Linked DNA regions of Struthio camelus. The protein of the gene in region 1 interacts with the protein of each later gene in a biochemical or structural test. Links are inferred from orthologs where the notes say so. Each region holds a gene or a part of one and is shown on either strand. Other genes may lie near its edges.

Region 1 (7,688 bases):
AATACCCGCGCGGGTGCCCGCAGCCCCCGGGAGCGGGGCTGCCCCGGCCGGGCCGCCCGCGTCCCACCTCTCCCGCGGTCCCCAAAGAGGCTTCGGCCAGCCGGGACCCACCGCGCCGGGGTCTGCAAGGCGCCTGGGGTCTCTCCGCCACCGAGACGGGCCAGGAGCTCGGAGGGCGCGAGCTCTGGACGTGCCCAGCGGCAGCCCTGGCCCCGAGCCCCCGGGCAAGGGATCAGCCACCTGCGGCCGCCCACGGCACGCTCGGCCTCACCGGCAGCTCTGCAAATGCTCCGGCTGTAAATCACCGCCGGCGGTCAGTTCGCCCCGGGGCGGCGTTCGCCGAGCGCCCGCCGGGCACCGTTCCCGTTTGCTTAGTCCAACGCGTTGGTGCTTCCCGGCTCGCTCCCGTGCCCGCAGCACCATGCGGAATTACACCCCCTGCCCCCCGCGCTAAAATCCCACGCCGGGGATGCACCAGCCAGCTACGTTACTTGCAGGCGCTGCATGAAGGGCTGCGTGCGGGAGGAGGACGCCTGCGCTGGCGGGCACCCCTGGCACCGGGCCCGGCGGTGCGGGGGGATGCTGCCGGCGCCCGGCCGCTGCTGCACCTGCTGCGTGGCAGGGCCAAAAACGCCTGCAAGGGGGCTTGTCCGGGCGGCGATGCCCCCGCGGCGCCACGTCCTGGGCGATTGCCTGCAGCAAGGTCCGGGGTGCCCCCGGCGTGGCCGTAGCCCCGCGGCAATGCCCCCGGTGCAGCACCCGCGGTGCCCCACCGCAGCCGTCCCCCCGCAGCCCCGGGGTCAGGGTGCAGGGTACCCCGCCAAGGCAGGAGGTGATGCCACCTTTGGGGTCACCTCCGGTCCCCCGTGCACCCCGGCTGTGCCGCCTGCCCCAGTGCCCGACCTGCTGCCTGGTACCAACCCGGCTGCTGCAGCTGGGGGCGGCGGGGGGGTTCCCGTGCCCTGGGGGTACCCGCAGCCCGGCCCCGACAGGCGCCCGCCCCGGTGGCGGCTCCTGCCAGCCCCAGTGCCCCGGGGCGGCACTGAGCGCCGCGGCGGCGGCTGCCCGGCCCCCCCCCGGTGCCTCCCGCCCATGCAGTGCCCCGGCCCCCCCCGGTGTCCCCGGGACACCCCGCCCGTGCAGCGCCCCGCCCCCCCCGGGACACCCCGCCCGTGCAGCGCCCCGGCCCCCCCCCCGGGACACCCCACCCGTGCAGCGCCCCGGCCCCCCCCCGGGACACCCCGCCCGTGCAGTGCCCCGGCCCCCCCCCCGGTGTCCCCGGGACACCCCGCCCGTGCAGCGCCCCGCCCCCCCCGGGACACCCCGCCCGTGCAGCGCCCCGGCCCCCCCCCCCGGACACCCCGCCCGTGCAGCGCCCCGGCCCCCCCCCCGGGACACCCCACCCGTGCAGCGCCCCGGCCCCCCCCCCCGGGACACCCCGCCCGTGCAGCGCCCCGGCCCCCCCCCCGGGACACCCCGCCCGTGCAGCGCCCCGGCCCCCCCCCCGGGACACCCCGCCCGTGCAGCGCCCCGGCCCCCCCCCCGGGACACCCCACCCGTGCAGCGCCCCGGCCCCCCCCCCCGGGACACCCCGCCCGTGCAGCGCCCCGGCCCCCCCCCCCGGGACACCCCGCCCGTGCAGTGCCGCCGCACGCCACCCGCTCTGCCGCGGCCCCGGCGTCTCCGGGTCGGGGAACCCCGCGCCCCTCGCCCGGCGCCCGCTCCCCCCGCTGCACCTCGCACCCCCCCGCTGCACATCGTCCGGTGCCCGCTCCCCCCAGCGCCTTGCACCCCCCCGGTGCACATCGTCCGGTGCCCGCTCCCCCCGGTGCCTCGCACCCCCCCGGCACCTTGCACCCCCCCGCTGCATCTCGCACGGCGCCCGCTCCCCCCGGCACCTCGCACGGTGTCCGGTGCACCTCGTCCGGTGCCCGCTCCCCCCGGCACCTTGCACCCCCCCGGTGCGCCTCGCACGGCGCCCGCTCCCCCCGGCACCTCGCACCCCCCCGGTGCACCTCGTCCGGTGCCCGCTGCCCCCGGTACCTCGCACCCCCCCGGTGCGCATCGTCCGGCGCCCGCTCCCCCCGGCACCTCGCACCCCCCCGGTGCGCATCGTCCGGCGCCCGCTCCCCCCGGCACCTCGCACCCCCCCGGTGCACCTCGCCCGGCGCCCGCTCCCCCCGGTGCACCGTGCACCTCGCACCCCCCCGGTGCACCTCGCCCGGCGCCCGCTCCCCCCGGTGCACCGTGCACCTCGCACCCCCCCCCTCCCCCGCCCGGTGCACCCTGCCCGGCGCCCCCGCCCCGCGATGCTCCGTACCGTACCCGGTGCCGGTACCCGCTGCCGCGCGCCCGCCGGGGCTCGCCGGCCCCCGCCACTACTTTCTCTTAAGGGCTCGGTGACGCAGGCGGCGGGGGCGGGGCGGCGCGCGGGGGCCCCGTGACGCACGCGCGCGCCCCATAGAAGGCGCGGCGGGGCGGGGCGGTTCCGGCGGCGGGGGCGGGGCGGCGCGCGCGGGGGGCCGCGGCCCGTGACGCACGCGGGGTTCCATTGACGCAGGCCCCGCGGCGGCGCCTATAAATAGCGCCGCGGCCCCCGGCTAAAAATAGCACGGGCGCCCCCCCCCTTCCTCCTTCCCCCCCCCCCCCCCCCCGGGGCCTCCCGGGGAATCGGCATCCCCGTGCACCCCCCCCCCCCCCCCCGCTCCCAGTGCCCTCCTGCTTCCAGTATGCCCAGTACCCCCCCACCCCGATTCCAGTATGCCCAGGGCCCCCCACCCCTGGCTGGTGCTGGTATGCCCGGGTCCCTCCTGCACTGGGGTCCCCAGTCCCTGCTGGTGCTGGTATCCCCAGGGCCAGTACTCCCAGTCCTCCCCAGTGTCAGTATCCCCAGTGTCTTCCAAGTACCCCCAGTCGTCCCCCCAGTACCAGTATCCCCAGTGCCATTACCTCCAGCTCCTCCCAGTCCCCCCAGTGCCATTACCTCCAGCTCCTCCCAGTCCTCCCCAGTACCACTATCCCCAGTCCCCCCCAGTGCCATTACCTCCAGCTCCTCCCAGTCCTCCCCAGTACCACTATCCCCAGTCCCCCCCAGTGCCATTACCTCCAGCTCCTCCCAGTCCTCCCCAGTACCACTATCCCCAGTCCCCCCCAGTGCCATTACCTCCAGCTCCTCCCAGTCCTCCCCAGTACCACTATCCCCAGTCCCCCCCAGTGCCATTACCTCCAGCTCCTCCCAGTCCTCCCCAGTACCACTATCCCCAGTCCCCCCCAGTGCCATTACCTCCAGCTCCTCCCAGTCCTCCCCAGTACCTCTATCCCCAGTGCCCTCCCAGTGCCAGACCCCCCCATTGCTCCCCCAGTGCCCTCCCGGTGCTGGTTCCTGCGGTGCTGGGGCCCCGGGGCTCCACCCTGGGGCCAGTTCCCACGGTGCCGGTGCCCTGGCCCCCCCCCCCCGGTGCCCGTGCCCTCCTGGGGCCGGTTCCCGCGGTGCCGGCGCTCTGCCCCCCCCGTGCCGGTTCCCGCGGTGCCGGCGCCCCGGTGCCCCCCCAGGGATCCCCCGGGGCTCCCCGCGGTGCCCCCCCAACACCCGGCACGTCCCCCCGGGGGCCCCCGCGTCCTCCCCGCCCCGGTCACCTCCCTCCGCCCGGCCCCGGCCCGGCGAGTCCGGCAGACAGAACTGGGGATTTCAGGGCCAGAAATAAACGTCGCTGATAAGTCAGCGGCTGGAAAGATTTATGCATTTTCCTATTGTTAAAATATTTTTAGCCGGGGCTCTGGAGTTGTTTAAGCGCTCACGTTCAGAAAAGCAACTGCGTAACGAGCTGCGTTTTTATTACATGTTTGTGCCGAGTTCCTGGCAGGCCTCCCGGGACGCGGGGCCGGGAAGGCGCTCGCCGCCTGCGCCCGGGCGCCCCGGCCCCTCCGAGGGCGAGGGGGAAAAGCGGCCGGGCCGGAGGCGAGCGGAGAGGCCTGCGACGGGCAGCGGCGAAAGGGGGCCCGGGGCAGCGCATCCGCCGGGACGCGCCCCGGCCTCCGCCAGGAAACCAGCCGGCGCTTTGGAAAGATGAGCTCGGACGTGGGTGAATCCCGCGCCGGCGGGCCCCGAAAGGGCGAGCCGGGAGGGACGGGGCTCGGCGGGGGCCTGGGGGTGCTCAGCGAGGGGGACGCAGCGGTGCGGAGCCCGGGCGGCTTCGGGAGCCGGGTCCCGGCACGGCTCAGCCTGCGCCCGCCCGGCCCCCGCGGCCCCGGGCGGCACCGACCCGCTCCGGCAGCTTCGCTGGCCGAAAGCCGCGGGTGCCGGCTGCGGCACGGCCTGCCCGGGTGCGGGGCCAGCTGGGGCAGGGCTGCACGGGGCGATCGCCCCCAGGCAGTGCCACCCCCCCCCGGCAATGCCACCTCTGGGCAATGCCACCCCCTGGCAATGCCACCTCCCAGCAATGCCACCTCCTAGCAATGCCACCCCCCAGCAATGCCACCTCGGGGCAATGTCAACCCCTGGCAATGCCACCTCCCAGCAATGCCACCTCGGGGCAATGCCACCCCCTGGCAATGCCAGCCCCCAGCAGTGCCACCTCGGGGCAATGCCACCCCCCTGCAATGCCACCTCGGGGCAATGTCAACCCCTGGCAATGCCACCTCCCAGCAATGCCACCTCGGGGCAATGCCACCCCCTGGCAATGCCAGCCCCCAGCAGTGCCACCTCGGGGCAATGCCACCCCCCTGCAATGCCACCTCTGGGCAACGCCGGGGAGCAGGAGCGGCCGCCTGGCCGGCTGCCGCGGGGGGCCGGAGGGGCAGGCGGTGGCACCGGGCAGGCTGGGCCGGCGAGCGCGTTGGCTGGTCCCTCCGCAGCCCCCCCGGGGCACCTCCGACTGCCCCCAGGGCCTGCCGGGGGGACGGGCACTGGACCCGAGCTGCGGCCCCCGGGGGGGCGACAAGCTGGGCTGGCGCAGGGTGACGCGGGGCCCCAGCAGCAGCGCTTTGTGCAGCACCCTGCACCGGGGCAGTGCCACCCTCGCCCTGCCCGGTGGCAGGGGCCAGGCCGGGGCTGGCAATGCTGCGGTGGCCCCGCGGGCACAGAGACACCCACCGGGAGGACCGCAGCCCTGCATGGAGGTGTCACCGAGGTGTCACCGGGGTGGCACCCCCGCGGGCCCGCTGCGGGCACGGAGGGGAGCAGGACACCCTGACCTGCAAGGAGCGCAGCGCTGGAGGGGCCTGGGGCTCACAGCCACCGGTGGGTGCACGGTCACCAGAGGGTGCACGGTGACTGTGAGGGTGCACGGCCACGGGGAGCCCAGGGTCACCAGAAGGGTGCACGGCCACGGGGACCCCATGCTCATCGAGGGTGCATGGTGACCAGGAGGGTGCACGGTCACCGGGGGGTGCACGGTCACCGGGAGGGTGCACAGCTACTGGGAACCCACAGTGAGCGGGAGGGTGCACGGTCACCGGGGGGGTGCACAGTGACCGGGAGGATGCACAGCCACCGGGAGCCCACGGTCACCAGGAGGGTGCACGGTCACCGGGGGGTGCACGGCCACCGGGAGGGTGCACGGTCACCGGGAGGGTGCACGGTCACCGGGGGTGCACGGTCACCGGGGGGTGCACGGTGACCAGGAGGGTGCACGGTCACCGGGGGGGTGCACGGCCACCGAGAGGGTGCACGGTGACCAGGAGGGTGCACGGTCACCGGGAGGGTGCACGGTCACCGGGGGTGCACGGTCACCGGGGGGTGCACGGTGACCAGGAGGGTGCACGGCCACCGGGAGGGTGCACGGTCACCGGGGGGTGCACGGCCACCGAGAGGGTGCACGGTGACCAGGAGGGTGCACGGTCACCGGGGGGTGCACGGTGACCGGGGCCAGGCGGTGCCGCCGCCCCCTCCCCGCCGCCCGTTACCTCGCTGCTCCCGGCCCCGCCGCCGCCGCCGCCGCGCTGACCCATCCGCGCGCCGCCGCCCGCCGGGGGAGGAGGAGGAGGAGGAGGAGGAGGAGGGGGGGGGGAGGCCGTGACGTCACGCCGGGCCGCTGACGTCCCCGGAATCCCGGCGGCATCCCGGGGAGCGGGCGCGCGCGGGGATGCCCCGGGCCGGCGGCAGCGGGGGCTCCGCCGGTGCAGCCCCGGGCCGTCACCGCCGCGGCCTCCCCGGCTGGGCTGGCGCTGCCCGGGCCCCCGGCAAGCGGCCCCGATTAACGGGAGCCGGTGACTCCGGGCCACCCCGTTGCCCGCAGAGCCGGACGCGGAGCGGGACGGATGAGCCCATCCGGCCGACGCGCGAGGGCCGGCGGGCGCCGAGGGCGCACGGGGACCCCCGGCAGCCCGCGGGGCCCCAATTACCTGCGGTGTAATTAAAGGCGGCCGGCGGGTGATTACAGGCCGCCCGCACCGGAGCCGGCCTATATTTGTCGGTAATGACAGGCTGGCGCGGCCGGGGCGTTGCAGCGGGCGCCCGGCCGCGTCTCGGCACGCGGTGCCTGGCCGCCCCGGGGCCCCCCGTGCCACCGCCAGGCTCGGCCTGTGGCTAAAAATAGCCCGGTGGCGGGTGGCACCTGCTGCGGGGAGGTCCCATGACAGGGTGGCGCGGACGGGGTGCCCCGGCGCTGGCAGCGGGCGCTGGCGAGCCGGGCTGCGCGAGCGCGGCTCTCACCCATACCATAAATGTCCAAGCACGGAGTCATGCTGGAACGGGGACAAGGCATGAGAGCGGCGCGGAGCTGGCCTGGCCCCGCGCACACCCCCCGGCAGCAGGCACGCAGCCGCGCAGCACGCGCCCGCGCTCGCAGCCTGCACGCCTGCGGACGTCGCCCCGCGGCACGCGTGCCTGCACACACGGCCCTGCAGCACGCGTGCCTGCACACGCAGCCCTGCATGTACGGGCGCATGCAGTCCTGCGGCACGCAGCCCTGCAGCACTTGCATGCACACGCAGCCCTGCAGTGCACAGATGCACACGCACAGGCAGCCCCGCAGCACGCTCATGCACACACAGCCCTGCAGTGCACAGATGCACACGCACAGGCAGCCCCGCAGCACGCTCATGCACACATGGCCCTGCAGTGCACAGATGCACACGCACAGGCAGCCCTGCAGCACGCTCATGCACACATGGCCCTGCAGTGCACAGATGCACTCGTGCAAGCAGCCCTGCAGCACGCTCATGCACACACAGCCCTGCTGCACACACGTGCACAAGCAGCCCTGCAGCATGCTCATGCACACGCAGCCCTGCTGCACACACGTGCACAAGCAGCCCTGCAGCACGCTCATGCACACACAGCCCTGCTGCACACACGTGCACAAGCAGCCCTGCAGCATGCTCATGCACTCACAGCCCTGCAGTGCACCCACACATGCACCCACACAGCCCTGCAGCACGCTCATGCACTCACAGCCCTGCAGTGCACCCACACATGCACCCACACAGCCCTGCAGCACGCTCATGCACACGCAGCCCTGCAGCATGCTCATGCACATGCAGCCCTGTGGCACGCACACACAGCCCTGCAGTGCGTGCGTGCACACACACACATGCATGCACATGTGTATGAGCCCTCGCTGTTGTATGAGCACACACGCACGCACACAGCAGCGCGCCCGCCCCCCTGCAGCACAGCGCGGCCCTCGCCCCCCCGCCTCTCGCGCCCCGTCCCTGCCACCCCGGCCAGCCCCCTGCGGCGCTGGTGC
Region 2 (7,102 bases), on another chromosome or scaffold:
AAATTTAACGTGATGACACTTCACAGACACAGGGCTTACCAACCATGTTAACTGGGAACCGTGTACGGTATTTTACATTCCTTTACATGCACCCCTTAAAGGTGTGCTCTTTAACTGATTTAGCTCACTGATTGTATTTCATAGCAGTCAGAACCTGAAGTTACCAATCTCTGACCTACCATATCTCCATTTTAAGTGACTTAGTGTAGGTCTCAGCCCATACATAAAGTTTCTTCTTCAGGATAACTTTTGCTGTTTCTTCCTTCTAATACAGTAATATGACAAGCCTTATGCATGCAACACATTCGGTTTGAGGGATCACATTTTGTTACAATAGATCAATTAACACAGGAAAACAGAAAGAAAACCCCTTCCAATCAAACGTGGTTATTTATTTTGGAGAGACAGAGACAGAGACAGAAAAAGACTCCGATTGACCAAAAGTATAAAAGCTGTCCATTTTCCGCAAGTGGAAATCCTCCCTTTCTGGATAATGCTAAAACTAACCCCAGCCAGAAGTGATTTCTACTCTGGAAATACAAGATCATTTCACTTTGAAACGTGCCAGATCACTGCAAATAGTAATTTCTCCAGAACAATGCCCCAGACGAGTCCCCTACCCATCCCCTGGCACCTTTGTTTGGCGGCGAGACAAAGACAGGACTTTCACACCAGATACACGCTGCAAAATCCCGCTCCGATTGCCACCGCAGCTATGAACACCGGCACTGAGGATCATCCGGCCGTTGTTTCCTTCGACTGCCTTTAGCACCGTGTCCCCTCGCACGTTAAGCGCGTCCCCCCAGCCCGCTGGGACGCAGGCACGCGGCCGTCGTCCCGTCGCCTCCGTGCGCCTGCCCATGGCATTACCTCTGGGCAGGCGAGGCTGCCACTCATCCCAGGCTGCTCTGGACCCCTGCCCGAGCCCGAAATATTGCCTGGCGCGTGGCGAGAGCCACGGCTGCGGCAGCCCCCACCGGGGGCACCCAAAGGGGGAAGGAGAGCGGAGGACTCGGCCGGAGGGGGCGGCTCGCTCATCCTCGCAGCAATGCAGGAGGGAGCTGTGGCTGCTCTCACCCCAAAACCAACTTCGCCATAACCCCACAGCGAGGTGACGCTCAGCGACAGAGGAGCTGGCGACGGGCCTACGCACCAGCCTTTTGCTCCCCCCGACTCGAGCGCCTCCCTGCTCCTCTGCGTGGGCACCCCCAACGCGCGCCACCCCGGGGCCCAGCCCTCCGCGAGGGAAGGAAATCGCGGGGCACGTACCCAGCCTCCGTTGTCCTGGATCCAATTATGCAGGTGCCGGTTCAGGTACTCGGTCATCCAGGTGGCAATGCTGTCCACCAGGGGGGACATCTCCCGGTTGACGCTCTCCACGCACATGACGCCGCCGAACTCGAAGAAGGCCACGATCCTCCCCCAGTTGACCCCGTCTCGGAAGAGCTCCTCCACCACCGCCACGAAGCGGCCCCTGGCCGTGAAGGGCGTCAGGTGCAGCTGGCCGGACATTTGGGCAAAGTCCCTCTGGTAGCGGCGGGAGAACTCGTCGCCGGCTTGGCGCAGGACGAGGTGGACCACCGGCGGCGCGGGGCGCAGCCCGTCGCCCGGAGCCGCATTACTAGCAGCAGCCGAGCCGGGGGGCTCGGGGTGCGGAGACACCAGCCCAGTGTGATCAGAGGAAGTCCCAGCAGCAGCAAGAGCAGCAGCAGCAGGAGGAGAGAGCCCTGGAGACGCTGGCGCCCGGTCGCCACTGGCCACCCAGTCGTATCCCCTCTGCGAGAGTTTGTAATGGATGTACTTCAGCACTATCTCCCGGTTATCGTAGCCTCTTCTCCCCGGATGAGCCATAATTTCCACGAGGCAGCAGCAAGAGGAAGGGAGAGAGGAAGAAGAGGAGCAGGATGAACCCAAAAAAGTAAAGCAGCCAATGATAATAAAATTAATAACACGAAAATTTATAATCCAGTTATTGTATCGGGCACGGTTTCATTCATGGTGATGCAGGGGAGTTCTCAGGGTCTTGGAGGTACTTTCGTCTTCTCAGTGTTTCCTCCGCGGTTTGAGATGCACGGTATAAATAGGGATTAAAACGCTGTAAATATTTTACTTCCAGATGCACATTTATTACTTACTATATATTTACTTTAGAAACATTTCCTCCTTGGTGTTGAAATACACGTTAAAAAATATCATACTTAGGCAAAATCAGGTGCATTTTCCCCTAGGTGCTGAACTACCACGTACATGAAGGAGCGGACGAACATACACCGTAAAAACTGCAATTCAATATGATTTGCTAAACGGCCTTGGATGAACGTTAATCCAATGCACTTTAAGCTAGAAATCTCAACACTGCTTTTTTAAGTTACACAAAGTAAATTTCCTCTGTAAAGTACTTACTTGGACTATAAATATGTTCCTCTGTCAAGTTTCCTCTAAAAAAAAAAATAGCAACAACAAAACCCAAACATCACAAGTCTTCAGAAACGTTAGGTTCTGGCCGCTCTGATGCTTCAAGTCACGGGAAAGGGACAAAAAAAAATCACTATAATTTCAAATGTTTTTTCCCAGACTCCTGTTTAACAGGCATCTCCAAAGATATGTCAAAGCTCAGAAAATCCCGCCTCGGAGCCCAGGAAGGCGAACAACCCCAAAGAGACCACAAATCTTGAAGACCAGATGAAACACACATTTGAATCCAAGCTCTCGCAGAAGTGCTCCGTTTTTCCCTCCAGTGCAACGTACAGACATATGCATTTACGTAGTTTCATTCAGACACTGATCGCAGGAGCCCAGCGCTTCCACACACACACACGCACACGACAAAAAAAAAAAAAAAAGGAAGAAAAAAAAGAAAAAATTAGGCAATTAATATTTTTTTGCAAAAAAGAGCGCAAGAAAAAGGACAAAACCAAAAAGAAAAAAGAAAATTGCGTTTGAGTGCGGCTCCGGGGAGAAATGCCATTTCCCGAGCAGCTTTTGTATCAAAGGAGGAAGAGCCCCTGGCGCTGCCGAGGCGGGGCGCGGACGGGGGCGCGTGTGCGCGCTGACCGGTGCCGAGGGGGTTACCGCGGCCGCGGCGCCGCTGCCCGCCCGCTCCGCTCCGCGCCGCACCGCGCCGCACCGCGCAGCCCCGCCGGCTCCGGGCGGCTCCTCCGGGCGCTCCGCGGTGCTGCCGGCGGCTCCGGGCGGCTCCGAGCGGCGGCGGCGGCGGCGGCGGGCGCGGGCGGGGAGCTCTGCCGGCGGCGGCGGCGGCGGCAGCGGCGGCGGCGCGGGGGGAGCGGGCCGGGGCCGGGCCGGGGCCGGGGCCGGGCCGGGGCCGGGGCGGGGCGGGGGCGGCGGGGCGGAGCCCGGGGGAGGCCCCGGCCGGCGCGACGCGACGCCTGCCCAGAGCCCCGCCTCGCGCTTCATTCACGAAAAGGGGGGGAATTGGGGTGGCGGGGGGGGGGGGTTGAAAATAGGCACGGAAAGGGGGGCGGAGGGGCCCTGCCCGGCTGGCGGCGGCGGCGGCGGTCGGGCCGCGGGGGGCGCTGACAGCGCTGCCGCCGCGTCCCTCGCGGAGGGAGGGAGGGAGGGAGGGAGGGAGGGAGGCAGCGCCGCGGGTGGCTCCCGGGGCCGGGGAGGCTGCTGCAGCTGCATGGATTTATTTAAAAATAATAAATAAATAAATAAATAAGGGGAGGGGGAGGGAATAGGAAAAAAAAAAAAGATCTTTAGGAAAAAAATAAAAAATGGCCCGGGGGCTTCGGCGCGGCTCGCGGAGCGAGGCCGGGGCCGCCTCCGCGCAGCCCCCTCCTGGGCGGCGGCAGCGCGGAGCGCGGGACCCGCGCACCTGCCTGCCGGCGCGCCCCGGGCACAGCCGCGGGCAGCGCAGCCGCGGGCCGCCTGGGAGGTCAAATTCGGGAGACGGGCGGCAGGGGAAGGGCTCTAGCGTGTCCCTCGGCTCAGGTTTTTAGCTGGAGGAGGAGGAGGGAAAGGAGAGGCTGGGAGCTCGGATGAAGCCGGAGTTTGCCCAAAGAAGCGGTGTCCGGCTTCGGAGCGGGTGAAGCCGCAGCGCGGGGAGAGCGCGCCCGCCGCCCGCGCTGCCCCGGCCGCCTGCAGCAGGGCAGGGGATGCTGATGCTGCGGCCGCACTGGCTGGCACTGGGAGAAATCCCAGACTAAACCCAAGTCAAACGGCAACAGGAGATACTCAGTACTTTGCTGTGCTGAACGTTAGCAAAAGAAGTCGGAGAAGTTCGTTAAATTCTGCTAGTCTGTGTCCTTAACATCTGAATGAGGGTGACTTTGAGATGATAACCTGGTAAGTAAACTACACTGTACCTAGAAGAAAAGCAGCGCAGGAATGAAGCTGGGAATGGGAGATTATTTTGTCCAAGGGATGCAGGCAACGCGCGCTCCCTTCTGAATCTCCACGCTCAGGGTCAGCCCACGCTTGCTGCACACGCTCACCCGTCGTGCCCAAACCGTGTTTGCTGCGCCGGCTGAGCGCTGCCCCGCCGGGACGCCCGGGCGCTGCCGGCACCGCACAGGCGGCGAGACCCGTGCAGAGCTCAGCTGTGCCCCGGGGCGTGTGGGGGATTTTAGACTGCACTGAGGGGGTTTTTTCTTTTATTTCCTTCCCCCCCCCCTCCGAAATGCACCTCCGCGTGCCGCGGTGCCGGCGGGGGCACTTGGCAGCTGCCCGGCACAAGGCGCCGCCGCCGCGGCGAGGCGGCACCGACCTCCGCCCGGCCCGGCCCGGCCCGGCCCGGCTCGGCTCGGCCCGGCCCGGCCCGGCTCGGCCCGGCTCGGCTCGGCCCGGCGGCGCGGGGTCGCCCCCCAGCGGCCGCTGCGCGCTCCCGGCGGGGCCTGGCTCCCTGCCTGCCCTCCCTCCTTCCCTGACTTCCTCCCTGCCTCCCTCCCTCTCTTCCTCCCTCCCAGCCTGCCTTCCTCCCTCCCACCCTGCCTGCCGGCCTTCCTAAGGACTCACCCACACACGGGAAACCTGCTGGGAAAATTAGGAATATATGGCAGGGTCCCGCTTCCATCTCCTTTTCACTCGTGCCTGCTGATGTATAAACGAGGCCGACTGCGGTGGGTTTTGTTTTAATGGATTAAGAGGAACAGAGGTCGCGGGACAGCAGGGGAAATGAAGTCAAAAGAAGATGGATGGTCTTCTACACAGCCATCGATTTACAGTGATACCCTACCCACGTATGTCCGCATGTGCTGCGTGTAACTCCCAGCCCAGTCAAACGCTGGAGTGCAAACGCACCTGATCTCTGTCTGTATAAAACCCTCCAGAGAGTAAGGCTTTGGTGATGAACTGAAGTATCGCGTCTGATGGCAGACATGCAGCTTCATTAGCGCAGCCCGAGGAGACCAGTCAACCAAGAAAAGTTACCAGCTTTACCTCCTTGCACCAAAAGAGAAAATACTGCTCTGCAAATGGAAAGTGGCCAGACGTTTCCATGTAACACCCTGAGGTTTTACAGGAACAAGTGATACAGAAAATCAGAATAGCCATAACCAACTGGGCTGCTGATTAAATCTCTCACTGTACTCGTGACTGAATCTAATGCAGTTGCTCCTGCAACTGAAAACACGGCAGGCAAATACCGTGCTCACAGATGTTAAGTAACAGAACAAGCTGTTGGGGTAAGCTGCACAGCAGTGTCATAGCAGGATCGGTTTTATAGCCCAGAGGACAAATCACTGTGGGACTGATGCAGAAGACAAAGATGCATGTAAAATTGATGTGCTTTTGTAAAGGGAAATTTAAAACACCTTTGAATGTGCTTGGGGTTTTTCAATCTATCTCGTGTGAGTAAATGGAAGTAACCCCATCTAAGTGAACAGAGTGTTGTGAGGGCATATAAGCAGTACACTAAAATAATTTTAGAGTGCCTAACTGATTTCTGACAGCAATAGATACAGCAAAACTTTATGAGATGTTCTGTTTGGAATGGATTTATTAATGATGCTTTTTTTCCCCCACTGGCTCTATATTCAGAACTTTGCTGTATAATATAGCATTGCTAGATCCCAGCCGATACATGTTTTAAAAGTTTAATGGGAAAATAGTGTTCATGCTTCACAGGAAAGCATGTTAATACCAAACAGCTGAGTGTACCAAAAGAAAGATGAAAAATACAAAAGAAAATCCTAGCAACCGTTTGCTTTGAGCAAGGGTATTAAGGATGAGCCATAGGAAACAAAAGCTATGCCTTGAAGAATGACCAAAACAAAATTATGTGCATTTATACAATCTTTTTGGTCCTAACTGAATGTCAGATGCATTGCATCTGACCTGCATTTATGACTGTAATTTAAGGGAGCGGCTTTTTAAAAACTAATTATGATGCTACCTGAGTGGGTGATAAGCATGTATTAGAGTTTCACAAGTTTGCATCACAGTACTGTTTTCTATCTTGTTTGTTTGTTTGAGCTCAACAGGATAAAATGGAAGTTAAAACGATGTCCAAAACAAAGGCAATATGCTTTTGGGGGGAATATAAAACAAACCAGCAAGAGAGGCTCAGGACTTATCAGGCAACATGGGCAGAATGCATAAAGCCAGTTAAGAAATTGCTGCAGTGCTTTTAGGTAGCAGTGCAATAAGTCTACTAGTAAAGGTCTGATCCTGAAAATCCTTCTGCACACATTTCTCTTTATGTGAGTTGTCCCACTAAAGGTATTTAGACTAGTAAAATAAGAACTAGCTGTATAAAGGATTGGAACAAAATTAGGAATACAAGAGAAGCTCCCATAACAAAAGAAAGCTTACATGACAGTTACAGAGGAAGGAGCATTGACAACAGATACTAGCCAGGTCTGGCAGTGGAAAGGACATAGATTGAGTGAGATAGCTTTTTGATCTGTACGTGGGCAACTGGAAGAACATGCAGGGATTCTACAATGCCTGCTGTTTCTTTGGTAGCTTCCCAGATGCACGATGCATTATTAACAAACGTTCTAGAAAAGTTCTTAATGCCTGGCAACAGTGAACTTAATTACAATCTGAAAGTTGACACCTTTTCCTTGTGTCTTTGTACTAACACCGACAGAATTTCAACAACAATCCTGGTTCCTGGTGACCTGCCCACCCTTTCTTTCCC

The links.
Region 2: the proteins of NR4A1 (region 1) and BCL2 form a complex in vitro, tested with the Homo sapiens proteins (2 studies listed by BioGRID). The link is inferred for Struthio camelus from reciprocal best matches to the Homo sapiens genes NR4A1 and BCL2.

Annotation. Positions count from the first base shown.
Region 1 is NC_090969.1:1,118,471-1,126,158, forward strand, and holds the start of NR4A1 (nuclear receptor subfamily 4immunitygroup A member 1), read right to left. Parts: upstream 3,004-7,688; 5' UTR 2,984-3,003; intron 2,365-2,983; exon of another isoform or gene 2,321-2,364; intron 1-2,320. UniProt on the Homo sapiens protein: Orphan nuclear receptor. Binds the NGFI-B response element (NBRE) 5'-AAAGGTCA-3'. Binds 9-cis-retinoic acid outside of its ligand-binding (NR LBD) domain.
Region 2 is NC_090943.1:92,680,112-92,687,213, forward strand, and holds the start of BCL2 (apoptosis regulator Bcl-2), read right to left. Parts: upstream 3,072-7,102; 5' UTR 1,852-3,071; coding exon 1,270-1,851; intron 1-1,269. UniProt on the Homo sapiens protein: Suppresses apoptosis in a variety of cell systems including factor-dependent lymphohematopoietic and neural cells. Regulates cell death by controlling the mitochondrial membrane permeability. Appears to function in a feedback loop system with caspases.